Caenorhabditis elegans: one gene and its partners. The protein of the gene in region 3 interacts with the protein of the main gene of each other region in a pairwise test. Each region holds a gene or a part of one and is shown on either strand. Other genes may lie near its edges. The genes, in order: inso-1, F46G10.1 and rbm-42.

Region 1 (11,234 bases), on a different chromosome or scaffold from region 3:
CAATTAAAATTTTTAGCAAAAATTGAGCACATTTGTCTATTTGCTATAATTCAAGGACTCGTCAATTTAGCTCGACAAAATTCAAAATAGAACAATTTTTAAAAAATTGGCATATGACAAAGTTCCCACTAATTTTTAAGTTTTTGACATCACTTGGATTTTTTGTTATATTTTTGGTACTTGTATAGTAGCTGAACCTCAAAACACGTAAACCAATTTTTTGAAATTCTAATTGCAGTTTTATAATATTTAACAATTGTCCTAACAAGCCTAGAAATACAAAAAGATGTCCCGTATTAATTTGTGAAACTTTAAAAAAACATTTTAGGGCACAAATACATACATTTTTTGTTTAGGTTTTGAGTTACAACACCGATAAAAAATTACAAAAACTTGGAGACTAGGAAATTTTGTATTTGGTGTCGCGTGTCAAAAAAACTCGGTAAAAGTCTAAATTTTAATTTGATCCAAGTTAAAACAAAATTTGTATAGCTTATACTGACAATTTTTATGTGTCAGGAAAATCATGAGAATTCACCAAACTACTTGAATTTCAAGATTTAGCAAATTCAAAATTCCAGAAAAAATAGAAGACTGGGCAATAGCTACGACAGCTTTAGGCTTCGCATCTATTGAAATTGGCAGGTTCATACTTTTTCATAGCACACCAAGTGTTAAGGAGTTTTTTTTTAAAATTTTTTTACATCGGCAATGGGTTCGCAATTTTGAATTATTATGTTTTTAAAAAAAGACTCACTTGTATTTGATACCGACACCTTCCTCGTATCCATCACCAGCCTGACCGGAATCTTTCTGAAAAACAAAAAAAAGCATTAAGAATGTATGAGAGATTTGTTTCAAAATAGCTGTCGTCGGGGGGCTTTTTTTCTGTTTCAGCCGTCGAAGAAAATGCGATAGTTGTTGCAAACAAGAGAAGAATGAGCCGCCAGAAGAGGAGTTGAGGATGAGAGGGGGGGGGGGGGAATGAGCAAACAAACGGAGACAAGGCTTCGTCTCCTCTGAAACCCAACCAGCCAACAAAAAGAAACGGGCGAGGAATAAAAACAGACAGAAGAGCTTCCTAGAATGATTTTGTTGAGCGGAGACAACACATGGGAAGGGATATATACAGAGATTCCGTTTTGAAAAGGCTTAAGCATAAGTCTGCTTCAGAAGGAATTAGTCGGTGAAAAATGAGAAATGAACAAACTCCTGTCTCAAACTTTTTAATTTTAGACATGTCAGCAAAAATTACAGAGAGAAGCTATAGGCGGTGGCTAGCTCTAGGATCTAAGTTTGTCAATTGGTCGCATTTGCATTCTCATAATTTTTCAAGCACGTTTTTGAATTACTGATGAGACATGTGAGAAAAGGTAAACAATTACACTATGAACCTATTATTAATAGTTACTGTATTTCCTCTATTAGTATTACACCCATTTGTTCAACTTTGACAGCTTATATCTCGGTTATCGTTTGTCCTATTCAAAAATTGTGAACTAACAAAATATTTGTTAGTTTTTTTTCTATCAATTTGTTATTTGTAATATATTAATATCTTAAAAATGAACCGAGATATACCGTTTCAAAGTTGAGTAGTCGGGTGTAATACTAATAGAGGAAATACGGTATTCAAACGCTCCAAATTGAATTTCTAAGATACCTCTTAGGTTAAATACAGAATTTGAAAATTTTCACAGCTGATTTTTGTTCAATTAATGTTATTTCTAATTAGATTACTTTTTCTTAATTTTCATAACTTAAAAAAATAATTTCTCAAAACTGTCCACTTGAAATGTAGTCTTTCTTTTATTAAACCTTTAATTTCGGGGGGAAATTGACTTAAAATTGATACAATTTTTGAAAATTATAGTTCCAGCACTCATAAATACAAAAGAAACCTTTCACTACAAGCTGTTGGTGGGTTTCTTTTTTTAACTTTTAAACTACAAAGTCGCTCAAAAAATAGTTTGAAATTTTAAAAAGGCCTACAGGAAAATCTGTTCCATTAAAAAAAATATTCAAAAAATTTCTGGATAACAATACAGCCCTAAAATAGGCTCCGCCTAAATATTGGACACTTCTGGCACAATATTCCGGTTTTTAAAATTTCAAGTTATTTTTTACGCTGAAACCTCAAAATTAATTTTTAATTCTACGAAATAGAAACCAGACTATTATTTTAAAATAAAATTCAACAAAATTATCTCATTAGACTCCGCCCATTTATTGGCTTTGGTGTGATTAATTGAACAAAAACTGAACAGGAACGGATGCAGCAATATTGAATTCGAGAAAAAAATACCACAAAATGGTAGAAAAAAAATGGGAAAAATTATTTCATGTTTTTTCGAGTAGGTTTTTTAAAAGTTATTTTATTTTATCAGTTTTAACAGGCTACCAAATTATAAATAATTATTACATACTGTTACTCAAAATATAATGCTCTATAATAAATTTTTCAAAGTTTGAATTTTTTTAAAAAGAAAATATTATTTTACGCTTTTTTTTCAACTGGAATAGGTATATAGTTCAATTTTCAGGAAATATTGTAAATTAAAAAATAAGCAAATTTAATTTTTTCTCAATTAAATATAATTTTAGTTATTGTATATATATATATGTGAAATTGAAAACTTCAAAGTTGTATTCAAAGAAAAAACTGCAAATTTTAAATTCATAAGAATAAAACGCTGTTATTGAAAACCTAAAAACCAGAAAATTCCAGCCAAGCTCCGAATGACAAAAAAAAGAATCAATAGACAAGACAATCGTACTAGCACTGCACACCCGCCAACCACTTGACCATATGGTCAGTTACTGCGTAAGGATCCGAGAGAGCACACAGAAGGAAGAGGGCGAGCAGAGATATGAAGCGGGAAATGGGGGGAACTAGTCCACGGCCATAGGGTGCCCGGCGATGCTGCTGCTGCTTCGGTTGGGGGAGAGCTGGGAGACGCAGAGTATATATGTAGGCTTAAGAAAATGAAACAGTGAGGGGGTAAGGAACAACCAAGTGCGAGTGTGTGTTTGTGCATGAATGTGCTCCCCCCGTCTTCTCTCACTTGCTCTCTCCCCCCATGTTTCCAAAAAAATAATGGAATAGCTTTAGGAGGTTCTACATTGCAATTGACATTTTTTCATTAAATTTTTTTTGGGATTTGTTCGAGGAATTCTCTAGTACTGAAGATTACTATTTTAGCTCTTTAAGAAATCTACATATTTAAAAATCTGAAATTTCTAAGGTTTTGAGCTGTTGCTGCCGGGATACATCGTTTGAATTAAATCATTTTGCGGATCACTTCCAAATGACAAAAACGAAAAAATTTCCAAAAATACTTCATATCCGGTCAGTACCAGGTCGGAACCAGAAAAGTGATGAAAATTTTCGGAACATTTGAATTGCTTAAATATTGATACACTTTGCACATTTTTTTTCTGTGATAAACGTGAAAATTCGAAATATAGTGCCTTTTTAATTTTTCGCGGATTTGCCAACCTACGAATTTTAGTTTTTCGGTTATTTAGAAATTTATTAAAGTGAAAATATAAAACTATAATTTTTTCAGTTAAAACATTTTCAGACTTTTCAAACGTAAATTACCAGATAACTGCCATGTTTTTTGGAAAAAATAATTTCAAATCAGAAATGTGATGAAAAGTTTTAGAAAATTTAAGTTTTTATTCGGCGAAAAGCTTTTTTTTTTTTAAATTTAAAAAAAAAGCAGTTTCTTTTGAGTTTTCAGGCTGTAAAGTTTAGTTTTTTTCAGAAGCCAAATTATAATTTTGTAGAAAGTTGAAGTTTTAGTTTTCAGACAAAAGTAGAATATTTATTTGGAAAAAAAAGGTTCCACATTTTTTCGAAGTAAATTTTTCAAACCTTTTAGATGTGAAATTTATAGTTTTTTATGCGTAACCTTAGTTTCGAACCTAATTTCAATTACTTAATTTTTTTTTCGAGCCCGCAACTATTTATAACTTTTAGATTTTTTCAAAGTGTAATATATTCCAACTAAAAATACTTCTTTCTTTTTTCACCTAATTTTTTATTATTTGTTCAATTAAATTCCATAAATCTAAACCGGTAACAAATAGTCATGCTTTACATATATCAGAAACAAAGTGAAAAACAAACTATAAAAACTTACATACAAATCATGAACTAGAAAAAAAGGAAATTTATTGAAAAAAGCAAGATGCAGAAGGGGATAGAAATTGACATTTCGAAAAAGAGCAACATTTGGAGGGAAACATGACAAAACATGACAAATCAAAAAAAATATTCGACTTGAAATTAATTCTAACTGCATACTGACACTGTTGATTGGCAATAATTAAATATGAAACTTTAGGTTTTCTAACAACTATTTTTGAGGCAAGTAAAAGTTCTCCAAAAACTAATGTTTGCAGATTTTTAATAATATTCATGTTGTTTACGTGTAAGCTCAAAATGTTCAATTTATAAAATTATATTATCTAATAAAAACGAAAGGCCCTTAGAACACCATGTGGGTGAGATATATATACCATACGCTATCCTTACAGTCTCATTTTTTAGAGACAACAATTGAAATGTGCCTTCAATTTTAATAAATTTCATTGGCTCACAATTGCCGGTTTACTTGGAATATTTTGGAAAAAATTTAGTCAGAGAACAAACGGAGGGAACCTAGCCTAAGCCTGAGCCTAAGCCCAAGCTTAAGCCTAAGCCTAAGCCAAAGCCTTAGCCAAAGCATAAGCCTAAGTCAAGACCTAGGCTTTAGCCTAAGCCTAAACCTACGCTTAAGCCCAAGCCTGAGCTTTAGACTGAGCCTTAGCCTAAGCCTAAGCCTAAGTTTAAGATTATATAACTTTTTTAATTGGAAAAAATTCATTTAAATCATACATAATATGCAAAGTTATAAATAAAACTTTTTGAAGAATTTTTTGAAGGTATTACTTTAAAATTTATTTTTAAATTTATTCAACCTACTCACTATCAGATTGGTAGACAATGTACAACAAAAGGATACCAAAGAAAATCGATATGTAAAACTTTTTTACAAAAACCAGTTGTGCGAACAAAATCCGATAAAATTTCTGAAATTTGAAAGAACTTACCTGAAAATCGCACGCGGCCAGAGCAGCTGCTTTACCTCGTTAGCTAATTTTTTGGCGAAACGACGCCGACTGAAAATTCAAATCAGATGAATAAATTCAATATAATGAACCGAAAGGAAATCTCAGCTAATGAAGAAAATCTCGGTGCCCTGGAAAAGATGATTCATAGGCAGTTAAATGGACGTCTCTGTGAATGAGAGCGTAATTAATTTTCTTATCTTGGGTTTTGTTTAGTCAACCGCAAGATATGCACTTTTAGAGATGTCACGTCATGGCCTTTTTGGGGAGGAGGGGGGGGGGGCACTTGGAACCACTGGATCGGAAGGGGGCCCTTTTTGTAATATTATTTTGTCAGATTCGCTAAAAATCGTCAAAAACTAAGGAAGTAATTCTCAGCTTTTGTTATAGTTTTCATGCTTTATAGGATGTACTTGCATTTTCACCTGTTCTTGTTAATTATAATTAGCGGTCTGACTTCAGAACTCTGTATGTATTCCGGGCTCACCTGCCTAATAGAACACGGTGGTTCAGTTGCTAAATGGGTGCAAACGCGCTCCACCGAACAAACGTGCATAACTTGGCCAGGAAGTACAAAATCGAAAATTCATCACAAATAAAGATAGATAATTTCATTGCGGTCATTTCTTATATGCATCGCAAAATCGATTTTGTGATGGTTTTCGAGATAGTAGCCAATATAGGTTTCCAGACTGAGTATCATGAACCAATCCATCTAGTTTCTGTGCTACCGTGAGAACTATCCGGCACGTTAAGAAAAAAAATTAACTGTACACGAAGTCTTTGAACTATGAGAAGTTCGACCCTAAACGTTTACCTAATTCCTCAGTTTTTCACCATTTTCAAAGTCTGTAACATTGCTCCAAGAATGACTTTTTGCAGATTTTTTATGGTTTTTTTTTTATGTTCAGAAGATGAAAGCGGCTGAAGATTGTGAAAACTTTTTTTTAATTTTCAAAGGCTTTCAGAATGTTAACTATTATCGAAAAAATACGATAAAATTTTGCTTTTTTCTTTTTTCAAAAAGTTCAAATTTTTCTCATAATTTATTTTTGATCTACCTTGTTCACTAGGCTCTTCCTTTCTCTTCGTTAAGACAGCCACAACGAAATAACAACGGCAACAAATTTAGCGGCGGAGTCAAGTTCCAAAGGTAGATCAAATGTTAATTATGAGAAAAATTTGCGAGCGTATTTTTTTCGATGATAATTCTTAGGCACCTTTAAATAAATTCATGAAAAACTTTTGGAACAAGTGGTTTTTTTGCACATATTTAATGTTTTTCAGGATCTTTGAAACAAGGTAAACATTCTGGAAGATTTTGAAGATTTTAAAAGATTTTCCAAAATAAAAATTACTGAAAAAGGCAGGCAGGCACTTCTGTACCTACAAATAAGCCTTCTGCACTGTATTTCAGAAACTTCAAAAAAATATAAAGTTTATAAGCAACTCGAATTTAAATAATCTTGGCACGCTGAATTCAAAATACCAATTTCTAATTTTTAAATTTTTTTTCAGAGCGAGCTTCTGCTGTACTCCAAAAAACTGTTCATATTACAAATTGAAAAAAAATCAAAAATAAAAAATACAAAATAAAAACTATTCAATTGAAGTATTCGGCGGTTGCTCCCACATTTGGGTGACCGAGATGAGTTGAGTGAACACGAGTGACAGTGGCGTTTTAAATGCGGTTTTCACCTTTTGCTGGCGTTGACACGTGAGAATTTGCTTGAATGCCCGTCTGAAATCTCGCGAGAAGCGCGAGTAGATGAGCGGGTTGAGCATTGAGTTTAGGTGACCGGCCCATGTGACGAATGTGAAGATGGTCTCTTTGTTGGAGAAACACTGAAACGGAAATTTAATTAGCCGCGGCTATTTGTGGGCTTTTTTTTGGTTTTTGGAGCAATGGTGAGTCGAGTTTTATCATAGTAGGGGCTTTGTCAATTTCTGATAAAAGCATTTTTCAGAAATTTTTCAAAAAGTTGCAAGTAACCGGAAAGTTCACCAGGCGCCTTCCCCTCAAAAACTAAAAACTCTCGTTCACTAGAATACCGTTCAAATTTTTTACCAAAACATAAATTTGCATGCCCGACATCTAGCGGGTCATCAAATCCTACACTTACACTTTCACAGAACGCGGTGAGCGGAGTGAACACGAAAAATGGTGTCCAGCAGAGAATAAATGCTCCGACCACAATGGAAAGTGTCCGAGCTGCACGTTGCTCGTGGACGTAGCGCATCATTTGGCGCGATTTTTCTCGAACATTCAATTTTCGACGCGTTGATAAGGGAGATGTCATCACCATTTGGGAGTTGGAGGAGAGCGACATACGATCCGGCTGGAAAATTTGGGGGATTTTTAATGGAATGTTTACATTATTAGAGGAGGACTGAGTGAATGGTTTCTGACACGTTTTATGGATTTTTTTTTGTTTTTGGCAGGAAAACTAACCCTGTTACAGTATTCTGGAACAGTAAGAAGTCAGACGCTATGTTTACCTGATCAACTTGCAGAAGAGTCGAAGAGCAGTTACTCCCGATCGTAACATTCCTGCCACGAAAGTTACGTTGCGAGGAACGACTAATGGAGTCGGAATGGCAACCTTCTGTGCCACGGAGCAATGGCTGCCGCACCGTGTTATTATTGTTGTGCTCGCCACGATCGTTTAATGATTTACAGGATACCTGCAACTGAAACATTGTGGATGCTAACTAGGTAATTCTAATTTCGCTAGAATTTTTGAACATTTAAACTGAAAAATCAAAGTAGTTTTTATACCTGCTTTAAAAGCAACCTCGTGGACTCTCTGGCATGAAACCTGCTATTTCTTAAGCTGGAACTCGACTGCTTCCCCCGCCCGAAATGAATCCGCAATGTTGGCTCATTCTCACTGGACAAGATGCTCTCTGTCTCCGTGTTGGATTTTTTTCCATTCCGTTTTTTGATCTGAACAAAACACGACTTATAAAACTGAAATATTTTCCTATTTACTCACGCTGACTGTTTTGATACCCATCCGCATGCCTTTTGAATGTCGCGTCGCAATTATGTAGACCTTTCCATATGCGAAGAGAATGAGGAAGAGCGGGATGTAGAACGAAACTAATGAAGAGAAGCTCACATACATTTTGCTGTCCGTGAATAGACATTGTGACTAGAAAAAAGAAAAATGTTTTTTTCTTTAATTTTAAAAGTGCATTTAATCAGTTCAAACTCTGAATTTTTATCAGTTCAAACTCTGAATTTTTGGTCAGTGCGACTTATAAGTTTGGTCAGTGCGATTTATAAGTTTCGTCAGTGCGATTTCTAAGTTTGGTCAGTGCGATTTCTAAGTTTGGTCAGTGCGATTTCTAAGTTTGGTCAGTGCGATTTCTAAGTTTGGTCAGTGCAAGGCACGTTCTAGTGCAGACCAATTTTGTCCAACCACCATCCCCCTATCTAATCAACTTAATTGTCAATTTTGTGGCGCTAATTAGTGAGATGATAGTCTATGACAGTGCCAATTTTAGACAAGTCCCGTTTGGCCAGTGCCAATTGTCATACCTGATCTTCATACAAATGCGGAGAACTAGTCCGCCACCAAATAATTCCAGGAAACGATAGAATTGCAGACAACACCCATACACTCAGAATAGCCATTAAGATCCTCCTTTTCGAGACTTTATCTCTATAGCCAATTGGGTCCTGACCGGCCATGTATCTGAAAAAAGTACGGAAAGTTTGTGCAAGGTCAAAGAAAGCACAGTTTGAAATTGAATGACTCACAAAAAAAGTAGTAGTAGAGGGGGGGGGGGAAGAAATTAGATTTGAACAAAAGAGAAGAAAAAGTCAAGAAAAAGGTTCAAAGTTCAGAGTTTTTGGTTTTCAAAAAAGCTTCATCAAATTTTTTTAACATTTTGGAATTTTCACATACCTGTCTAGACTAATGACGCATAGGTTCCATATCGAAGCTGTCGACGCAAGAATGTCCATCGCGTGGAACACATCACACATCATCAGGCCAAAAAGCCACGTGTGATTTGCAATTTCAAATAATGAATTCATAGGCATCACTATCACGCCTACTATGAGATCTGCTATTGCCAATGAGATAATTAGGTACCTGAAATTTAAGTTTGATATTAAAAAGAGTAAAAAGTGTAGTAAATTTAAGAGCTCATTTTTCTAATACTAAATTTTCAGTTGACATATGTACAGATTCAGAGGGTTCAGTAGTTTACCAAAAAAAATTCAAATCAAATTCCAGAGTTATTTAGAATCAGTTTCAGCCCAATTCCCAGTAGACTTTGGTTTATTTTCTACTTGTTGGATTGCTGAACCGAGATCACATTTTTGTCCGGATCTCTTTTCCGTACAACTTTTTCGGGAGTAAAACAGAATTATTAACTAAAGATGTTAGTTCAAAATTTAAACACACCTATAGAGACCATTATTTTATTGTAAAGAAAATTATAATCTACACCAAAATTATTTAAAATAAAGTTCTGAATTTCGGGTAAATAAGGAGTTTTAATGCATTTTCATTTAACAAACGGGTTACCCAAATGCGAAATGTTGTGATTTTTGTTTTAAAATTAGGTCTCGGCACAGCAAATTTCCAATAAATGATACCCTTTCCGCCAATAAATGTTCTGAAAAGACATTGCGAATTCCGCAGCGAGAAAGTTACTGTATTTTTTAAAAGCGCACACAGGCTAAAATTGAGCATAAATATATGATATTTCAGAGTTCCTGTGCCAAACTCACCCAGTGGGATTCCTTAAATACTTCTTAGTACACACTGCAATCACAACCAGACAATTTCCAGCAACTGTGAGCAGACAAATGGAAAACAATGCAATTGCCAATAGGGGATGTCTCCACACAATTGCCGCCGGCTCCTCTGTCGCCCAGACTGTGGTGTCGTTTTCTGTTGAGACGGACGGTGTCATTGTGATATAGAGGTCTTCGGCGTTCGGATCAGACCCGTAAGCCAACATTTTGATGTAGGCTAATTGCTGAAAAATGATATGCATATTGGTTTATTAAGGGAATAATAAGTAGGAAAAAGAGTTTTGAAAAATAAAAGATTAAAAAAAAAAGGAGGAGGGCAGTTTTATTTGAGAATTAAACACGGTGATATCAATAAATACAAACAATTGGTCAGTGCGAACGCTTAACTGATAAACCAACAGGTTTCCATCCCATGGAACATACTAAACAGCAAAAGGTTTTTGTAAAGGGGCGTGGGAGGAGAGAAGGAGGATGTGAGCCATCTCCGACTATTTCTTCAGTTTTCAAATCTTCTCTTTTTCCAGTTTCGAACAGAGAAAACAAGACGACGTGCATCGTTTGAGCGGCACAAAAATCTGGTGGTTGCCTCATTTTTTTTCGTCGTCGTCGGCATATTTTTAGCAAACAGCCGCCTCACCCCAAATTTGATTGCGGACCCGGTTTATCCAATTGTGAACTTTTGAAGTCGACCGAGTTCAGACAGCGAGGAAAAAAATGAGGGGAAAGAACGATGAGGCGGCAAGCAATGATGGTGAATCTGGGAGTTTCGGGAAACGAGGTGGCAGACAAAAAACATAAAAAAAATAGTAAAAAGAAGTTTTGCAAAGCTACAGCCAGAGCTTAAAATTGCAATAGAGCTGATTCTCCAAACTGGAATTGGATCTTGAACATGAACTTCCACACTATCCTGAGCTCACTTCTAAGACTTTTTGTAGGCTGTCAAATATTCAAGCCAATCACTGACCTGGGCCAAAGCTTCAATCTCTATCCTGAGCCCCGTTTGACTCAAAGCAAACCCAGAGCGTTGGTCTTAGCTTGAAAATGAGCCCAACCCCCATCCAGAGCCAAAACCTGAGCCTAGTTGGGCGCCTGGTACACTCAAGCCTAATCGTGGCCCAAGCCCAATTTCAGTATCAACGCGAGCCTTAGCCAAAACTGTAGCCATATAGCTAAAGTCACTATAAGCATTATAAGTTTCAACTAGAACTTGAGCGTGATCTAACGGACTAGCCCGAGATCAAAGCTGAAGCCGGAGCTTAAACAAAACTTGGCTCTAACTTTGACCCAAAAAAAGGAAAACCTTGGACCTAAGTATGCCGAAGCCTGAACATAAATTAGCCAA
Region 2 (9,866 bases), on a different chromosome or scaffold from region 3:
CTCTCACAACTTCAGGTAAACTAGCGAAAACAGTCTAAAAATAATGTACCGTTGCAGCATATTAAAACATATGTTAGACTAGACTTCTTACCGGAAAACATTTTGTGATAAACGCTCCAAGTTCATAAATAGACAAATAAACAGCAATTGCCACTGTTTGCCTCATCATGATCAGGTCTCTGCGAGCTTGAATTTTCGACAAGTTGCTCTGTTCTGCAGCCTTGACAGTTGGAACGGCGCTGATGTGATGATCTTAATTTAATTAGGTAGAAAATTTTTTTTAAACAAAACTTTCACTTACTTTTGGTAAAGAACTTTTTAAATTTTACGTATGTGTCATTCCGTGCGAAACGCAGATGCAAGATAATAGCCAAGTTGACAAACATACATGTAAATGGAAGTAGAATAGCATATTGGTTTTGGAAAACTGTGATCTGCAATCTTAGGAAGTTTCTCCTTTTTTCATGAGAACTGCTTTCTCTCAAAAGCAAACACTGGCGCTATTCATTGTTCTCTTCCCCCAAAAAGAGAAGCAAGTGTCTAATCGTTTCTCTTTTCGGAAGGAAAAGCTTTCCCATGGCCGAATGGTCTAGTGGTATGATTCTCGCTTTGGGTGCGAGAGGTCCCGGGTTCAATCCCCGGTTCGGCCCATTCTTTTGGCATATTCAAACGCGACACGCACTTGGCACGTTGAATTGAAATTTAATGTAACATTTTTTAAGGCAGTAAACATTTGATCTCCTTTGACGGAATTCGAACAAAAATGATTACAATGCTCAGATTTTGACTAACCGGATGTCGTTCTGGGTCACACGCAGATATAAATGACAAATGATTCAACATGAAAATAATACGACACGGTGTAAAGTATGGAATAAGTAATGATATGAGCACTACAATTGCAATAACGGCAGCATATCCGAAAAGTCGTCGTTGTGTGAACATCTCAGAGAATGGGTTGAGTATAATAGCCAATCGATTGACTGTCATTAGCACAGAAATGCAAAGAGAATGGAAATACGAAAATGTGGCTCCAAGACTAAATTGAGCACCAAATGCTGTCAGATAGTCTAGAAACGTCAAATGTTCGAATATGTTTTCAGAACTCTCCACAGGCAACTCACTTTCATATTCTTCCTCAGTAAGGAAGGCAAAAGCAGCTACATTAACATTAAGGAAAACTGTAATTAGAATTCCGGGAATGCTCATTAAAACAATATAGGCCAGTGGGAGTGCAGCTTAAAAATTAATTGAATGTAATTGACTCCTAAAATTCAAAAACTACCGTTCCGACGATTTATTATTGTTGCTGTGAGGAGCACAATGTTGTAAAGCATGCACATTGTTTGAAGTATTATCATAAAAATTAAAAACAGTTGATACTTCGGTGTCATTTTATCGAAAATTGTTGAACGCTTCAAATTCGATTAGGAGAGAATGTAGAGTCACAACTGCTGAAAAGGGATATAGACTGAAATGCGAGAAAAACGTGACAGAAATTGAATCATGCTGAATTGCGTGACAGTGATAAAAATGTGTTCGAAACTATTGGATTCTGAGAACAATTTCTCCTATTCGCAAAAGCGCCCACTAAATAAAGGGTTTTATGAGTTAGATATAATAGTGTGATTCGCAGAAAAAAAAATGTACAGGGAAGTAGAACGGAACCTCTGAAACTGAACTTGCGCACATTCTGAAAAATTTGGGTTTAGATCAAAATCGTATATTTTCGAAATTATCCGACTGGTTGATTATCAAAATAAATAAACTTCATCATGTAATTTGTCTCCAACGAAGCGTGTAAAAATATTACACGTACCATGCTGGTCAACATGGTGCTCAATGATCGTGCTTTGATATTAAACGTGGCAAAATGTTCCGGGTTCCGGGTCACATCTTGTAAATATTTCGTTGTAAATAGTTTTAACTGCAGTCGTAGAAACTTAAGTCTTAAAGAGTTTTATTGCAAAATATTTGCAAATGTTTATGTATTTTTAATAGTTTTCAAAAGTTTAAAAAAATCAAAAGAATTTTTAATAATAATAACGATTAATTCATGGCAAGATAACGTTTCATAGCGCATGTTCACATGGAGCTCGAATTTTTTAAGTATCTTTCAACAAACTTTCAAAAAAAGTTGTTTACCTATTGAGCACACTGAACAGAACATTGTTACTTTTTTAAGTCTGCACAAAACAAGTAAATAGATCTATTTTAACTGCAGGCAAAAAATAAACAGTACACGAAAACATCTGTATTAGTTTTCAGTTGCAACTGCAGCGACGCAGGCTTCAAGACACAAAAAATTGCTCAGAAACAATGCTAATTAAGAGCGCAAGACTAATTTATGCGAGGAAACTAACTTTCGAGAGAGATTCAGGACAACCAATAAAGTCCCCCCCCCCAATCAAAAATATTAAACGAAATATTTTTCTCCACATTGCTGATTTAGAGCAATTTTCCGAGTTGTATCTTTTATCAGTTTTGACTTGGTTTTCAGAAATCTGTAAAAGATTGAATATAATTTAGTTTTTGAAAATCGATATTTTCTATAGTTTTTTATGGCTAATGTAATTGAAGTTTAGTAAGACGTTTTGATTTTCGATAACTCGATTCTACCGATTTTTCTTAATTTAAAAGTGTTCAGAATTTTAAGCACATCTTTTTGGTTTCAAATGTTCTCACAAGGATCACTAAAAATAATTTGAATATGATTACTCCATCCCCCAAGTCAATTTTCAACGAACACCAAATTCAACAAGTTCGTTCAGAAGTACACACAATTTTGCACTTTATTTCCGTTATTTCATGGTCATTAACAAAGTTATTCAGAAAGAGGAAGTAAACTTCAAATGCGTCCTCCATTATTGTAGTACGTGTTGTTCGCAATTTGGTTCACCGAATTGCGAATATCCACAATATCATTGGTGTTGGCACGTTGTTCCTTTTCAATGTCAACAAGTGTCTCTTGAATTAGGTACTTGAATACCTCCATGCCAAAGAAGTCTGCTTCTCGCTGGAAAAAATAAGGGAAGTTTATATGTATTGTCAATTCATACATCATTGGAGTTATTTTCAAATTAAAAGTTGTGATTGTTTTCAATAAATTGATTTGGTGTTTCAAGATTCATTTAATATACACACTTATGTATGCTACACATTTTTTGCATAAATCTCATAGTTTCTATTTTTTATGATTGTTGACATAGTTGACATTAGTGTTAATCTTGTATTTGTTGGTTTTTTTTCCATATTGCACTTTGAATTAATTTTTGAATGATATTTCCTGGAAAAAACAATTTTTCAAAACATATTGTTTTTCCTTAACAATATCATAAAATAGTAACTGCACATGACTAAATTGTATAACTTAATTTTCTCTACCCATGCCAATTGATTAGGTATACCAATATTCGTGACACACAATCGCCAACACATAAATACCCATAAAACACAAGGCACACCTCGGTGTACCTCTAGTAAACAAGCAACTGTGCTTATCAATGACAACGCATGGTTAAGAAGGCGATGAAATTAAACATGAAACACCTACTTTGAGCTGTGCTAACACGTCTTTATCTTTTGGCAGGACAGTGTTCTTTCCGTCTCTCATAAATTGCAGAACGAATGCAAACAGACGCCCGTCCCGGTTCACGAAGATTGCTCCTGACTCATCACGCTGAAATTTGTATTGAAATTTTTTTAGAGAGAGCTATGAGGATTAAAAGCATTCTCTTGAAATTCAGAAAAATAATTCTGAAAAAAGCACAAGTAAAAATTGTTGGAAGTTTTTTCAGTAGGATTTAGGCTTTCAGCTAGCTTCTAGATAACCTAATAGTCTCCAATTAAAAAATTCTGCATCCTCATTAGTATGTATATTTATTTCTAGATTGTCACCCACAATAGTTCTCTGTTGAAGAAGCACAATTTTTCCACTGGTGCGGTCGATGCGGATAAAGTTGAGGAAATATGACGACTTTGACTGTGCCAAAGTGTCGTAAAGTGTAGTAAATCTGAAGCCTTCGTTAAATTCTCAGATCTCATGTTCTCAATTCCCAACTAACCTTGTGCCGCCTGCGTTAATATGCACTATGTCTCGAGCATGATGAGATGTGACTTCAGCCTAAACATAGTTTTATAATACTCCAATTTTCTCATTAGCTGTACAATTTATTAGAAAATTGAATCAATTTCAAGACCCACCTTTTTATAATCAGCATACTCAGCGGTATGCATATCCACACCATTTGAATGAAGAGAAGCTCTAGCTAGCATTATTAGTCAAACCTGCGTGTCCTGTGAAAAACGCGAGCAAGTGAAAATCGAGGTAATAAAACTCAATGGTCGGTTGTGTTATCAGTGACGTTAGGAAAATTTTTGAATTCACCTTGTGTCAATAAGAAGATACCATCCCATTTTCAGATTGGCAACACGTGTGATTCAACACTTTTGAAACATATAAAGGTACCTATTTTCGAAAAAAAAATCTTATTCGTGTTTAGAAAAAGTATATTGTTATCACTCAATAATAACCATTTATAATTGATCTAAAATTTAAATGAAAAAGTGAATAATATTAAAAGCGTGGCAAAATTTGAATAGTTTTTTTTGAAGCTCGCTCTGAAAAATGCCAAAAAAAACAGGCAAAGAAATATGATCAAGAGTGCCAATTTTACGAATTTGGACAAACCGTAAATATGTCAATGTAATTTTGAAACACGTGTTATTCAGGAAACCGCCAACCAATCACCGAAGTATGTCGTCTCCTTTACGTAACGCTGATTGGTCAGTGCCGTCGCATGATTTGCGTATAATTTCAAAATTTAATTGAAGTATTCATTCACCACTTGACTACTCTCAAAATAACACAACCTTTCATTTTTTGAATAGTAATTTTTGCACTTGTATGCTTATTCTAACTGGCGCCATTCTGTTTTTAAAGTTTTGTTTTTTTCACAGTTTTTGAACAAGCGGTAGGAAAAAAATCGACAGTTGCCGGTTTTCGTGCCAACAGCTCAGTCTGCTATGTATGTTCACTGAAAAAAAATTTATCCTGCAATTTCAGAACTACGAAAGTTGTTCAGGAGTAGCTTGCAGCTCAATGACGATAACAAGATGTTCCAGATCATAAAGTCAAATGAAAGTCAATTATAATTGATATTTCACTGGCAATTATTTTGTTTTTTTTTTGTTATTTTCTTCACAATATGTGCGGCTGCAGCACTATCAAATTATGTTTTATACCGCCGTAAAACTTTTCTGGCCGAAAATCTAATCTCGAAAATAATTTTTTATTTGCAAAAATGTCACTTGTTTAATCTCGCACGAGAAGTGCGAATAACTAATTTCACGTTTTCATGAGTTATTTTCTTGATTAAAACAAGGCTGCTAAATTGAAACAACAAAAATAAAAGTTACCGTACACCAAACGAAACAATATGAGATTTTGATTGGCATTTTCATGTTTTTCAAAAATAATATTTGATTTCGAAATTATGTTTAAAGGAGGACTAACGGTTCGGACGATTTTGAACGTATAAGCCAAAAATGGGCCCAAATGAACGAATTTCGTAATGAAACTGCTCAAACAATTTTCATAAATTTTTTATGGCGGTTCAAAATTTCGAAAAAATGACGCTGATTTTAGCTAAAATCTCTAATTTTGCCCATTTTTCCGTGTCACATCTGTCCGAAATTGCTTTTTTGGAATTATCACCCTTTATTGCATATATTGGTAGTTTATCTCATTTAATTTCCTTGATTAAGGTACATTTAAAGCCGATAGCTAACCAATTTTGATGATTTTTGCAATAAAGGATGATAAAAGCAATTTCGGACAGATGTGACACGGAAAAATGGGCAAAATTCGAGATTTTGGCTAAAATCAGTGTCATTTTTTCGAAATTTTGAACCGCCATAAAACATTTTTGAAAATTTTTTGAGCAATTTCATTACAAAATTCGTTCATTTGGGCCCATTTTGGGTCGATACGTTCAAAATCGTCCGAACCGTTAGTCCTCCTTTAACTGCCTGAACAATTTGTTAAAATTTTAGAGTGACATTTATATTTAAAAAAACAGAAGAAACTATAATTTTTGTTTATTATGAAAAACACTTTTTAGGATATGAGTGCGTTTTTTTTTTCTGAAAGAAGCCATTTCAAAAACCGAAACTAAAACGATAATTAACTTACTTCAGTGTCCATTCGCCTTTTACTTTTTGTTGCTGGAGTCCATTTAAACAAAGTTTGCACTACTTTTAAAAGATATTCACTCCATAAAAATTCGAAAAAAACTTTTAAAGTGTTTTTTTAAACAGAAATTATACCACCAACAAACGGATGAACCGGGAAGTGTAAAAGTTTCAAAAAAAAAATAATGCAATTTCTATCAGTTTAGTATGCGTTTTCATGTCAATCTAGGGTTATTCAGTTATTCATAAATCAATTTTAGATAACTAGGGGACCAAAATAAATTATAAAGATGAAAGATTGGGATAACGAAAAATTGACATAATTTGAGATGTTAGCAAAATTCAACTTTCATGGTGTCGATACTAAAAATGACAACATTTCAATTCTGCATCGGTGGAAATATTTTGCAAGTAGTAACATTGTTTTTTACAAACCTGCCTTATTAATGACATTTTTATTTTTTGCAATTACCATTGAGAATTGCACAGATAATTTTTTTCACTTCTCTCTTCAAGAGCTTTGCCTACTTTTCCTATAACTGCCTGGAACCCAAGCCACCATTATGCATTATCTGGGCGTATGCTTAATGAGATTTGCTTCCTGATTCTTTCAATTCCCCTCAATTCTTGCAATATGTTCCCGCACTCTCTTCTAAGTATCTTTCCGAAGGCACTGTAAACGCGCCACACGCAATTGTTTCTTCATAGTCATTTTATTTCATTGCATTGCTTCTTTCACTGTTTGTTGATTTATTGGTGTTGGATAGAATGGAAAGGAAACATTTTCTACTGAGAAACAATTATTTCCGAAATTTCCAGCAAGAAATTCAGATTTCAATAATTCTTGTTGAGAATTGTTCCTATCAGGCATATTTAAATGGATAAAAGTCATGTCAATTTTTTGGTGGACTTTGAATCGATTATTAAATCGTTAAAATATAAATGAGATTGTGTTTTTTTTTTGTTTTTTGGAAAAACAAACCAGGGGAAACATTCATGCTAGATGCCACACGTTTTATGTCACAACAACATTTTAATTTAAGGAATCCGAAAGCATGTTGAAAAATGACAAAAAATTTAGCAGAACATTTCAAACGTTTCTGAGTTTTCTACCAATTCTACCAATTTGAATTTGTATTAAAAATTGAAACTTTATCTAAAAATTATGATCACTTTGAGTAATATAAATGTGTAAAACGTCTTGTCACATTGAAATTCATATGGACAAAAGTTAGACAAAATTTTTTTGCCAACTGGGTCATTCATTTTTCACATGCTCGTGTCAGATGACACCGGAAGTTTCATTCAAATAAATTGCTAACAATTGGCATTCTGATAACAAACGCTGCAAGTACATTTCTGCTTAATTAGCCAAGCTAGTTAATTAAGTTTTGTTACTGTTATTATTGCTATTATAATAACAATTCCAATAAATCCATACATAGTGTTTTCAAAATTCCAATAAAACATATTCCCTAGTATGTTTTTTTTTTGTTTTTGGTTTTTGCCTGTCATAGAATCTGTTCAAACCGGCCTTCTATATCTCAAATCAACTGACAATTTGTCAAAAATAGTACCGTTTGCCAAATTGACATATGACATATGACTCATTCATTAACAAAAATGGGCGCATTCTTTAACGCATCTGTTTTTCATCTGTTTGCACCGAAACAAATCAAATGATTAAACCATCAACGCTGTCACATATCTTTGAAGAATGTGGTAGTGACGTTGACTATATCTTGTATTCTTTGTGTTTTGTGGTTGTATCATGTTTTTCGTGGCGTTTTTATTCGATTTTTTTTTTGGAAGAAACAATAGAAGTTATAGCGGAACCGATGTACATATTCATGTACATTTGTTATAAAATGAATTTTTAAATTGTAGTGTGATAAAATTTAAATGAAGTTCGCAGGCAATTAACATTAACTTATTTTCCACACTTATTTTCCAAAATTCCCTTTCAGTGACCAAGTGAATTTCATAATTAGTTTGACCATCAAGATTCTATAAATATAACAGAAACAGCTCAAAGAAGCATACAAAATTAACCATCAAATCCCCAAAGTTTAATTTTCCTAATACCAAGTATCAAGCTACAACATACAAGTTGGATGATTCAAGCTGATTACTAAATATGCGTTAGTTAAAGTGAGCCTTTTTAGGAATTTTATTTCAATATATTTAAACATGAGAATTATTTGAAAAACATGTTTTCAGAAAAAATTGAAGATATTCCTGATAATAGTCTTGTCCGTGTTTTTCCGAGCACTGCATTCAGTCATTTATTCATTTTTCAGATTGTCTGATTGTATTTTCATGAAGTTTCTAATATAACTGCGAAATTTAAATACTTCACACGCAATTTGATATCACATTCATTTTCTGAGATCTCGCAGACTAGAACTTATCAGCACGGATACTTCCCGTTAGTCATGGATCCCTAGGCAATAATCACAATGGTTAAACACGTCAATATTACTTTTTTCCTACTTCATTCTGTAAGATCAGGCAGAAAAATCGTTTTCAAAATTTTTACTCTTACTATGATGTACGCCAACTCTTGTGTCCTGCTTTTTCCCTACAAACATTTACTTTGAAACAAGACATCTTGGCCTCCGCAATTCAATTTGAAATTCATGAGATCTGGTAGGTTCATTCTGCTTCTTTGTCAAGTATTGCTTTGTTTTGCACAACATAGATTTTGAAATTTTACTAAATTTTTTGAAAATTTGATTTGGAAATTGAAAATGTTCCAATATTTCTTGTTACTTTTTTAGCGAGTATTACAATAGAGGTCCTTGGTAGGCTTTCCCCTTCATACTTCTACTTAACGGGGGTATCTTTTTTCGTCACTGTTTAGAAAATTTGACAAATTTTTCTGGTCGTCATTAAATGGTTTGGTACACATTCCGGATAAAAAAAAACAATTACGTAGACTTCAAAATTTTAAATAGCTACCGCCACGCTTACAACGAGCTAATGTAACTTGTGTCAATTTACGGGCTTGTTTTGCATTAAATTTTTATTCAAAAAATCTTGGAGGCAGTTCATCATTTAATTCTGAAAATAAAATGTGATGAAGTCTCATAAGTTGACATGAGCGGCACAGAAACTCGTTGACTGATTCCAAATTCTCATAGATAGATTTATCCCGTACCCCTTTTTCAAATTTCCTATCTCCCTGCAGTATTCATCACATATTTTTCCGACCTCTCCGTGAAAAAGAGTGTAAATGGGTTTTCTGCAAAAATGCGCGTATCTACGCACCTCACGCTGATTTTTCTTGTAGATATAGCGGGAAAAATAAGTTGAAACTGTCATTGTGAGTCAAGGTTTCGAAAAATTCTTTGTGTCTTGTGTTATTTATATGTTTTTGTATTGTGTGTGAACTTTTTTTTTAGTTTTCTGAAACTTTTTTTCTTTATTCGGGAGTTCTGGGAACAGATGAAATTTAAATTGATCTTCTCACGACTTTTTCTACAGAAATAAAAGCTCCTCAAGTTACAAATTCCAGTCAATTTTTGATCCTTGAACAAGTAGAATTTCAAACATTTATATGTCTACTTAATTTCATACAATTTCACACATCCAAATTTATTTTTATGTCACATCTTTAATTTACTTCCTTCTTTGTGGGCAGCTAGCTCTCTTTTTATTTTTTCTGACCTGCG
Region 3 (9,788 bases):
GGCACGAAAGAAACTATTCGACTATAGTAACCTCGAGCTATTTGTGTGATTTGAAAGTTAAAAATACGGTATATGGTCTCTACACGACAAGTTTTCGCTAAATGAAAAATGATGTGCGGTTTTACGGGGTACTGTAATTAATTTCAAATTATTGTTTTAAAAATCTATGAATATTCCGCGGCAACTACAGTACTCTTTAACTTGTCGTGTTGAGACCAGTCATCGTTTTTTTGGTACAAAAATCACATAATCTCACGTCTGGAAAATTAAAAAACTTTTTAGAATATTTTCAATATTTTTCATTAATTAGTGTAAAATTATCTACCATACTCTCGGCTACGGTAGCTGGAATATTTCACTCGCATCAGGACCAAATGGTGTTCTAAAAGTCACTTTTTCAAGAGTAGGTAATTAAAAATTTTGAGAAAGAATTTTTGAAACTCAAAAAACATTTTTAATTCAATTTTTGAAGTATATTTTGAATTCACCAAAAGAAACTCACTGAGCAGTTGTCCAATATAATTCGCATTTCGTGCTTTCAACTTATGATCAACACGATCTGGGAAATGGCGGGAAACATTGACAAGCAGACGAGAGGCAACTGACGAATACAAGGCCTGAAAGAAAAACACTTAAAGTCGGGGGATTACGAGTACTTGACACAACTACTACTTATGGTATAAGGTTACCACTCGTTCTTTTTATCCAAAATATTAGTCTTTCTCTATATTCTTATTGTATTTATATTAACCAGAAACGAAATTTCACAATTTTTGCGCAGAAAATACGGTACCCGGTCTCGAAGCGACATTTTTTTTCTTAAATTCAAACGGATGCGCACCTTTAAACACTACTTCAAAATCTCGTTTCTGCGGAATTTTCTTCGTTTTTGAATAAAAATTTGTTTTAAAAAAAAAAATATTTAAACACTGATATTAACAAGTTTGTGAATAAATTTTCGCAGCAAACGAAAGTTTGAAATTACAGTTTTTTGAGGCGCACATATTCTGCATTTTGAAAAGTCGTGGCGAGACCGGGTACCGTATTTTTGGCGCAAAAAACGCAAAATTACGCGTCTATGTAATATTATGAAAGCGTTGAATATTACTTTAAAATTCCCTTACATTAGTAACAACTGCAGTATAAGCAATTTCCACACATTTTGATTTATCCAATACAAAATCAGCGGCTTCAATGGAACCAGAAGTGAAGTTTGTGAGAGCTGCCAGAGTTTCAGTTCGATCCGAAGAAGTTGCTTCACATAACTGACAAATCGCTTTTCCCAGAGCAAAATCTTGAGCTTGGAAGTATTTTCCAGCAGATCCATCGAGCGGTGTACCCAGTTGAGTGACAACTTCCATTGTTTTACGACGAACAATTAATCTGGAATTGGAATTTTCAATTAAGAATAATAACCTCAGTTCTTACGACATAGTCGGTGAGAGGAGCTTCACCAAATCATCGACGCTTACTTCCAGGTCAGTCATCTAGAAATAAATAATTATTTTTAAATTCAGGATTTCATTTCAATTCGTTTTTAAATTTATGTTATATTTCTTCCGATTATCACTTTTTAAATACATTTTTCACACAACGCCTGATTTATTTCTAGAACCCCTTGAGTTTTCTATCTCTAGTATGAACTCAATTCTCTAAACTTCAAATTCCCTGCTAGACTGCAACAAATTTTGACGTCAAAATCAACTTGTCACACCCATAGTCTAGTTAACAATCACTTCAATTCTATTTTACAGTATACCTCATTCGCCCACCCGGGTACGCGTCCTTCTCACCGACAAACATCTCGAATCTTGCAGCTTCAGCGCCAATCCTCACAGTCGGCCACTTCAAAAGTGCGCGAATGTGTAAGGTGGCGGGTTACTGTAAGTCTTTTGCGGTTGAGAGTGAGAAATTGGGGACAAAAAGTCAGGTTGAAGTGTGCTTTTCGGACGTTGCGGCTCGTGTACATCTCACACTTGATGTGCACAAAAGAACGGACACTCCAGATTGAAAAAAACTAGAAAAGGGTTCCTGACTACCGTAATCCAATGGGATATGCATGGTGATTGTTGATGCAACACTACTTTGGAAAACAAACGGTCCAGAGTTACGTCATCTACAAGCAATGGACCACCGGATAATGTGGACAAAGTTGCATAATCAGAGTTGAATATCTGGTTGCTAAGACCGATTAATGCTATTTGGATGTTTATCTCCCCAAATTTCAATGTTGATCAAATAAAACTGAAAACTTGATGGAATAAATATCAAGTTTCATTTTATATTAATTATCTAAATTTGATAAGTTTAAACAATAGGGGAGCTTCACAGTGAAAACCCATACATTTCAAACCCCATGCCACACTTCGTCCACACGGCTGTTCCTAATCCAAGACCTCTTCGTGTCATAAAATATTAGATGTTTCCATTTTCCTGACACAATCCATACCATGGGTGTTTTATACCGCATTACACTTGATAATAAACGAGGTATCAGGTGTGAACAAAATGGTGAGGAATTGCTTATAAATTTGACGGAAGAGAATAGGGAAAAGGATTACTTATTAGTAAAAGCTAAAGGGGATTATTATCTAGATCTAGAGATTCTTCGCATCGAATGATTTTCAACATGCTCTTGAAGGATATGACTGTTATTGCACAACAGAAAACAACATGATATCATCAAACATGTGTTCATGTAATAACATCAAAAGAAGCATTTGGTTGCGAAGCGGAACCATTTTCAGTTTGAATGAAAAATATGAGTTAATCGCACAGATTATGATTTTAAATTGCTTTTTAATTGGTCGTGTAGAATTATCGAATAGGATCTGACTTTTTGACAATTGTATCCGAATACGAGTCTAGAATTCCAATTCCAAGTAAATTCAGAGTTCTCGCTCATTTATCGTAAACAACAGACTGACAGCACACTTTCAGTACAAAAAGCCGCTTTTTTTCAAATCTTCTGATCCGGATGCACAGATTGACCTGTTGCCGTCACCAAACAACATCTTCATCTTCAGAAGATGCGTTGAATTGCGCAACCGTCAATCGGAAGGACACCGTGTGACCCTGTCTCGACCCGTCACCTTCGTAATCTCTTGCTCAAACTTTCGACATCGGCACTCTTTGTGAAGTAGTCGGTATCCGTTACGCAATTGATATACTCGTCAACACAGCCACCCACTTGTACTACATTTATACAAACAGGAATTAAATGAAGACACCTACTAACTATACTTATATAGAAAGTTCTAGCCAATGAAGGGGTCGAAAGTATTTTTCATTTTTGTAACAAAATTAGTTGAAAGTATCTAATTGACAAATCCTATACTAGATATAATGTCTACCTATCTTAACTTCCAGCCAAAATCATTTAAATTTCAGGAAGAACATTTTTGAAACACAGACACGAAAATTCTCGTTTTGTGCGCTAAATATACAGTACTCCGTCTCGACAAGAATTTTTTGTTAGTTATTGTTAAAATTTATGCTTTACTGAAGTTTTTGATTAGTAGATATATTTTTATCAAACAACTTCAAAGAATCGTTAGAAATTGAACTACAACGAAATTTTTTAATTACAGTACTCTTTAAAGGCGCACAGCATTTCGAATTTAACAAAAATGTATCGTGTCGAGACCGGATACGGTATTGTTCCCTCAAAATTTGAAGTTTTCAAAAGATTTCAGCCTTTCTTAAATATGAATTGAAAAGAAAAAACTCAAAAATGTAATGTTCTAAAATGACAGTAGAGGTATATTTTGCACTGGACATGCAACAGTGCTCCTGATACTCAAATAACGATAAATATCTCAATTCAGACTTTTATATATTGAAAAGAAAAATGAATAAAAATACGATGACAGGAAAATAAGGGGTACAATGAAAGTATTGGGGTATAAATGAATAAATTACAGAAAAAAATGTAGAAAAACGAATCGATTTACAAAATTCCAAGTTCTTTCTTTTGCTTTCTCTTTTGCTTGATAACATCAATATTACGCTCCTTCCATGCCGATTTTCTCAATTTAATCGGTCGATTTCCAACATATTTTCCGTCCATTTCACGCATAGCTCTCACATAATCCTCCGAATCTCTGAATGAAACGAATCCATATCCTTTACTCTTATTTGTTCGTGATTCTCTGACAACTTTGGCTTTTTGGAAACTTGGGTATTTTCGAAAAGCCTTTGCAAGAAGTTCATCCGACACTTCATTTCCCAGATCTCCACAGAAAACTCGAAAATCATTTTCATCCCATTCGGCAAGAGATGGATCTTCCCAAACCTGACCACCACCGGATCTCACAAACTTCTTTTTCGCTTGTTGTTCCTTGATTTTCTTCTTAAATGGATCGGTTTGCTTTTTGAAATTCATCTTATCAATATCTGATTGAAGAGCTTGAGTTCGCAGAAGTTCTTGTGGAATTGCGTTTACTGCAGGTGTTTCATATAATGCTGGAGCACCTTCAATAGTTGCAGGAGCCGGAATTCCGAGTACTCGAGGAGGGAACATTATCTGTAAATTTAATATTCAATTGAGAGTAATATTCACATAACTTCAATTTTTAACTTTTCTCTCAAAAATTTATGGCTTTATTCATAAAATAAGGATATTTTTTAAGTCAACGGAAAATCAAAACTAACCGGTGCAGCTCTTAATTGTGGAGGCATGAAAATTGAAGGTGGAACTGGAGGCATTGTTGGAAGCCTCCCAAGTGCCGGGTTGATAAATGGAGAAACTGCAATTGTGGCAGCTATCGGAATAAACGGAGGCGCTGCCAAAAGTGATGGTTGAATAACTTGAGCACTAGAAGTAGCTGCTGATGACTCGGAAGTAGTTGGTCCTGCCGAAATTGTTGCATTATCGTAGCCAACATGCGTTTGAGAGCTTGCTGGCTCCTCCGAATTGCTACTCGCTTGTTCAAGTTCGGCTAACTCGCTTTCAAATCTAAAATAATATAATTTGTTTGATAATAAATATAGGAAGAATCAACTTACAAAGCCAGTTCATCATCCAAGTTGGCCATTGTTGAAGGGTGAGCGTTTCAGGCTGAAAATAAGTCTAAATATAGTCAGAAAGTACAGAAACTTTGCGACAGATAAATCAAAAAATATTAATATTTAATATTATTATCTTTAACACATAAATGAATACAAATAAAAGGAAAATAGCTTTTGTTTCGAAAAACATTAAAAAATTGATAAAAATATTAAGAGTACGCAAACACCGCATGAAATAAGCCAGAGACGACGCACTTTTGCGTACTCTAAAATTTTTTCTGTTTTCCTATTTATTTTTTTTATCCTCCCAATTTTCACGCTTTACTAGTAGTTTTGTGCTCATAATTGTTTTAAAATTTAAGAAAACACCCTCTGAAGTTCCAAATATTACCTCATCCGCTTTTTCTAACATTTCTTAAGAGATATATTCTGTATCTGCAGAAAATGTCCGGTGAAAATGACGTTGAAATGCATGATGAGGATCCAGTGGAGGATATAGACGAGTCTGAAGAGGAAGTTGATGAAACTGATGATGAAGACGAGGAAGTACCGGAGAATCAGAGACAAGTGAGCTAGAAATTTCGTACAATACTTCTAATTGTTAAAATTGCAGGCTTACATTCCAGGCCTCAGCCGGCCATTGAAAAAAGGAGAAGAATTGGATTTTGACCCTAGTGCTTACAAACTATTTCATAGTTTCAATTCTGGTGATTCAAACGAAATTGTTTCTAAAATATTTATATTTTATGATTTAGATTGGCCATGCTTGTCGTTTGACGTTGTTAAAGATGGTTTGGGCGAGAACAGAACACAATTCCCTGCCGAATGTTATATTGTCAGTGGAACTCAAGCCGATAAGCCAAGGGATAACGAAATCATTGTGATGGGATTGAAGAATCTTACAACGATGAGGGTTAGTCGGTTTCAAACTTTTTTATTATTTACCTGTTATGAAATTGAAATTCCGGCCAACGTTTAGTTTTAAGCTCAGTAACACAATTGTTAAACTAAAAAAAACAAGGATATCTCTACAATAAAAGTGAGTATTTCAGAAAGAAAAAGAAAACAAAGGCGACGACAGTGACACCTCTGAAGACGAATCCGAAGATGAAGATGCCGAAGAAGAGAAGAAAAGAGAACCAAAAATGCACGCTGTTTCGATTCCTCACTATGGTGGTATTAACCGAATTCGTTCCGATCGTCTTGGTGACAGTACTGTATGTGCTTGCTGGAGTGATCAAGGACGTGTCCAGGTGTGGAATATCACTGATGCATTGAATTATACTCATGGAATGAGCGGAGAGTCGAAGACTGAAGTGCAAAAGATCGATCGACCCTTGTTCACGAATAATGGATCTGGAAAAGAAGGATATGGACTTGCTTGGTCTTCATTAAAAACTGGAGACTTGGCTACTGGTGATATCATCAAAAAGATTTATTTGTGGCAAATGAAGGAAGGAGGACAATGGGCTGTTGGAGCTAATCCATTAACTGGACATAAAAGTAATTTATTTAATTTTGATCTGAAAATTCCAAAAATTGAAATGTGTCTCCTGAATGGCGTTTGAGTGGTTTTTTCTTGAATAGATTGGAAAAAAACAAAAATCTGAATTAAAAACTTGTCTTTGTCGCATAAAAATTTTTGAGCATTTTTCAGTACATATTCCAATATTTTTCAGAGAGTGTCGAAGATCTTGCATGGTCACCAACTGAAACTGGACTTCTTGCTTCATGTTCCGCGGATGGAAGTATCAAACTATGGGATACACGTTCTGCTCCAAAAGATGCCTGCGTCTGTACAGTGCAAAAAGCTCATGAATCCGATGTTAATGTTATTTCGTGGAATCGTCACGAAAACCTCATTGTTTCTGGTGGTGATGACGGAGAGCTGAAAATTTGGTCTTTGAAAACAATCCAATTCGGTCAACCAGTGGCACTCTTCAAGTATCACAATTCACCAATCACTTCAGTCGACTGGCATCCACATGAAACAACGACATTTATGGCTTCCGGTGAAGACGATCAGACAACAATTTGGGATATTGCAACTGAAGCAGATGGACAAACGAATATCGAAGGAGTTCCACCACAGCTGATGTTCGTCCATATGGGTCAGAATGAGGTCAAAGAAGTTCACTGGCATCAACAGATTCCTGGATTGGCTATCAACACTTCAATTGATGGATTTAATGTCTTCAAGACTATTAATATTTAAGATGTCTCCCTGTTATTGCTCCCTGTTTGTTTTTGTTGCTGTTTTTCTCATCTATTCAACATTGTTACTGTTCATTTTTTTTCGTAACTTTTCTGTTAACCAAAAAATGCTTTAAAAATGTCGCGTTTTCGTTGAAAAACAAAAAAAAACATTTTATTCTATAGAATCTAAAAAATTAGGGACTGGGAATGTATCACAAAATATAACAAGAAAATTCACCATTTCAAGACTTGAGCAACATTCGTCTCAACGGGCCTATAGTCCGTAAACAGAAGATTACGGTAGTTTTTATCAAGTTTCTCCCATTCCTCTCGAACTTTTATCCAGGTTTCTTCATCATCTTGTCTGGGTAAATCTTCATATAATGCCTCGACTTTAATCAATTTCTCTTCTCTCTCATCCATTGTCTCGTACCGAATCTGACCTCCACCATTTGCACATCCACCCGGACAAGCCATAATTTCCACGTAATCTGTCTTCTCCTTTTTCGTCTTCATTTTTCGAACCAGATTCTGCACATTTCGAAACCCGTAAACCTTGGCAACTCTTAAAAGAATTTCTCCAGCTTCGGATTCTACAGTCGTGGAGAACATGTTCTTGTTTCTGAAAAAATGAAATATTACATTATTTAAAGTTATTTATTCCTACAGTTTTGATGTTTTTACAATTCCTCCTCCATTTTCCAGCACGAAATCTCGAACAATTCGATCAGCATATCCTCCAGAAGCACCACCATCGTCACCAATAACAGATCCTGAAACATTTCAGTATTGTGTTTTAAGGGAGGCATCTTTTTTTATTTTGTTTCGTTTCTAAAGATTACTGTAGAAAATTTACGATATGTTTTTCAGCTCCTGCTCTGTTCAGTTTCATGTTGTATTTCTCGTAAAATAAATGTTTTCCACAAGTTGGAAAATATGGTTTTGTCGCCAATACCTACCGAGACCCATGGTTGGGAGGCGGAGGCATTGTAGCGCGATTTTAAAAGAACCAACGCCTCGAAAATTTTCAAAAACGGCGAGAGAAAAATATTTGAATTCCCCAAGAGGAATTTCACCACAGCGCGTGCAAAAATGTCTGCATTTGCGCGTGACGGTGTTTGCACAAATTACACCGAATGGTCGAGCTGAAAACACGTGTCCTACAACACGTGAAGAGAAATAAAAAAATCTACACGTAGAAAAGGAGTATTCAAAAGTTTAAAATTTATTCCTCAAGAATAAGAGCTTGAATTCAGTCACTCAAGAAATTGATTGTGTAACTGATCAAGCCTGATTTTTTTTGGGATGTAAGTTTTATTAATTTCTGAGAATTTGACTGAAATTATTTTCAATTTCAGAATATTATTGGCGCAGACTGTTTCTGTTGGGTGCAAAGCGAAGGCTACAAAACCAAAAGCAGCTGCTCCGAAACCGGTAAGTATAAATAAGATTTTATAAGCTGAAGATGTTCTAAAATTGAAATCATTTCAGATAAGCTCAAATCGACAATCTCGAAAGTTGTCCCACCAGCTCGTCCACCATCACGACCAGAAGATTATGAGATCAACTGGGGACCTAAATGCTGTTAATTTTGAATAAAATCGGTTAAAATACAAGTCGTTGTTTTTTTGTCTTTCAGCTCTCAAATCCGCCGCAGCTTCTTTGTTTTTCTCGAATTTTCAAGTGAAAAAGAGGTTTTTATGTCTACAGTGGCGTGCTAAATTCTGTAGAAAAATTCCAGATTTTTGGTAACTTTTGGTATTCTCTACATAAAGTTTTTTTCACTAAAAAATTTGAGGAAACCAAAGGATTTGCGTCGAAATTGGAGAATTTGAGCCTGACTTTAAAGAAATAAAAAAACCACAGAAATTGTTATTTCTTTTCAAATTTACCTTTAGAAAGAGCCGATAACCATTGCTCTTCTTCTGATCTATTTTCAACATCTCCGGCTTCGTCGTTTTCCAATTTGATAATTTCTTCTAACAGTTCAGCAGTACTTATAACACAATCAGTCTCTCGAACATCAGTTCCATCAACTTTAAATTGTTCTCTCGATGCCTCTAATTTCTTATCAAAACATGGCATTACAGCTGCATGGAATACATCACAGGGGCTTAAACCTTCTCTTTTTGCTAGAAATCCTTTGATAATTGCACCACTTATAGCTTGAGGTGATCGAATTTTACTGATTTTAGGGATTAAAAGCTCTCCGTGACTTTTTTCAGCGTAGCACACAAATCCCGGACAAGCAGATGAAAGAAGTGGTCGAGATGTTGATGGAGTTGTTGAAAGTTCTTCATATATTAAAGAATGTGCAAATTTCCGGGCAAATGATGAATCAATTACGTATTTGACACCTAGTCTTCGGAAAAATGAGGCAATTATTTTCGCTACTTCATTTGTTGATTTTCCAATTTTCACAGCAATAGAAGTGATGGCTTGTGGAGAAACAGTGACGACTGAGAGCTTTGAATTTTGAATTCCTTCATAAACTCGTCCAAATGATTGTTCTTCAACAAGAACTGTTTCAGCACTAGTGATACATCCACTACATGCCAGACAATCAGCTAACGAGATTTTAA

The links.
Region 1: the proteins of rbm-42 (region 3) and inso-1 interact in a two-hybrid assay, tested with the Caenorhabditis elegans proteins (one large-scale study listed by BioGRID).
Region 2: the proteins of rbm-42 (region 3) and F46G10.1 interact in a two-hybrid assay, tested with the Caenorhabditis elegans proteins (one large-scale study listed by BioGRID).

Annotation. Positions count from the first base shown.
Region 1 is NC_003284.9:1,294,142-1,305,375, reverse strand, and holds the start of inso-1 (BTB domain-containing protein), read right to left. Parts: upstream 5,228-11,234; 5' UTR 5,101-5,227; intron 814-5,100; 5' UTR 792-813; coding exon 758-791; intron 1-757. Other genes in the region: dop-4 (Dopamine receptor 4), read right to left, coding at 6,718-6,963, 7,242-7,457, 7,618-7,803, 7,898-8,065, 8,115-8,273, 8,663-8,819, 9,033-9,221, 9,866-10,098.
Region 2 is NC_003284.9:13,307,452-13,317,317, forward strand, and holds F46G10.1 (BTB domain-containing protein), read right to left. Parts: upstream 4,305-9,866; 5' UTR 4,276-4,304; coding exon 4,204-4,275; intron 4,124-4,203; coding exon 4,065-4,123; intron 4,021-4,064; exon of another isoform or gene 4,014-4,020; coding exon 3,902-4,013; intron 3,680-3,901; coding exon 3,554-3,679; intron 3,017-3,553; coding exon 2,849-3,016; 3' UTR 2,776-2,848; downstream 1-2,775. Other genes in the region: srxa-8 (G_PROTEIN_RECEP_F1_2 domain-containing protein), read right to left, coding at 1-34, 92-252, 302-434, 793-1,070, 1,125-1,238, 1,286-1,394.
Region 3 is NC_003281.10:5,148,092-5,157,879, forward strand, and holds rbm-42 (RNA-binding protein 42), read right to left. Parts: upstream 5,139-9,788; 5' UTR 5,037-5,138; coding exon 5,008-5,036; intron 4,958-5,007; coding exon 4,654-4,957; intron 4,526-4,653; coding exon 3,950-4,525; 3' UTR 3,816-3,949; downstream 1-3,815. Other genes in the region: Y54H5A.2 (Protein HGH1 homolog), read right to left, coding at 503-617, 1,125-1,383, 1,429-1,487; grwd-1 (Glutamate-rich WD repeat-containing protein 1), read left to right, coding at 5,455-5,577, 5,624-5,717, 5,766-5,923, 6,063-6,513, 6,690-7,225; putative cytosolic Fe-S cluster assembly factor oxy-4, read right to left, coding at 7,441-7,828, 7,874-7,979, 9,099-9,788.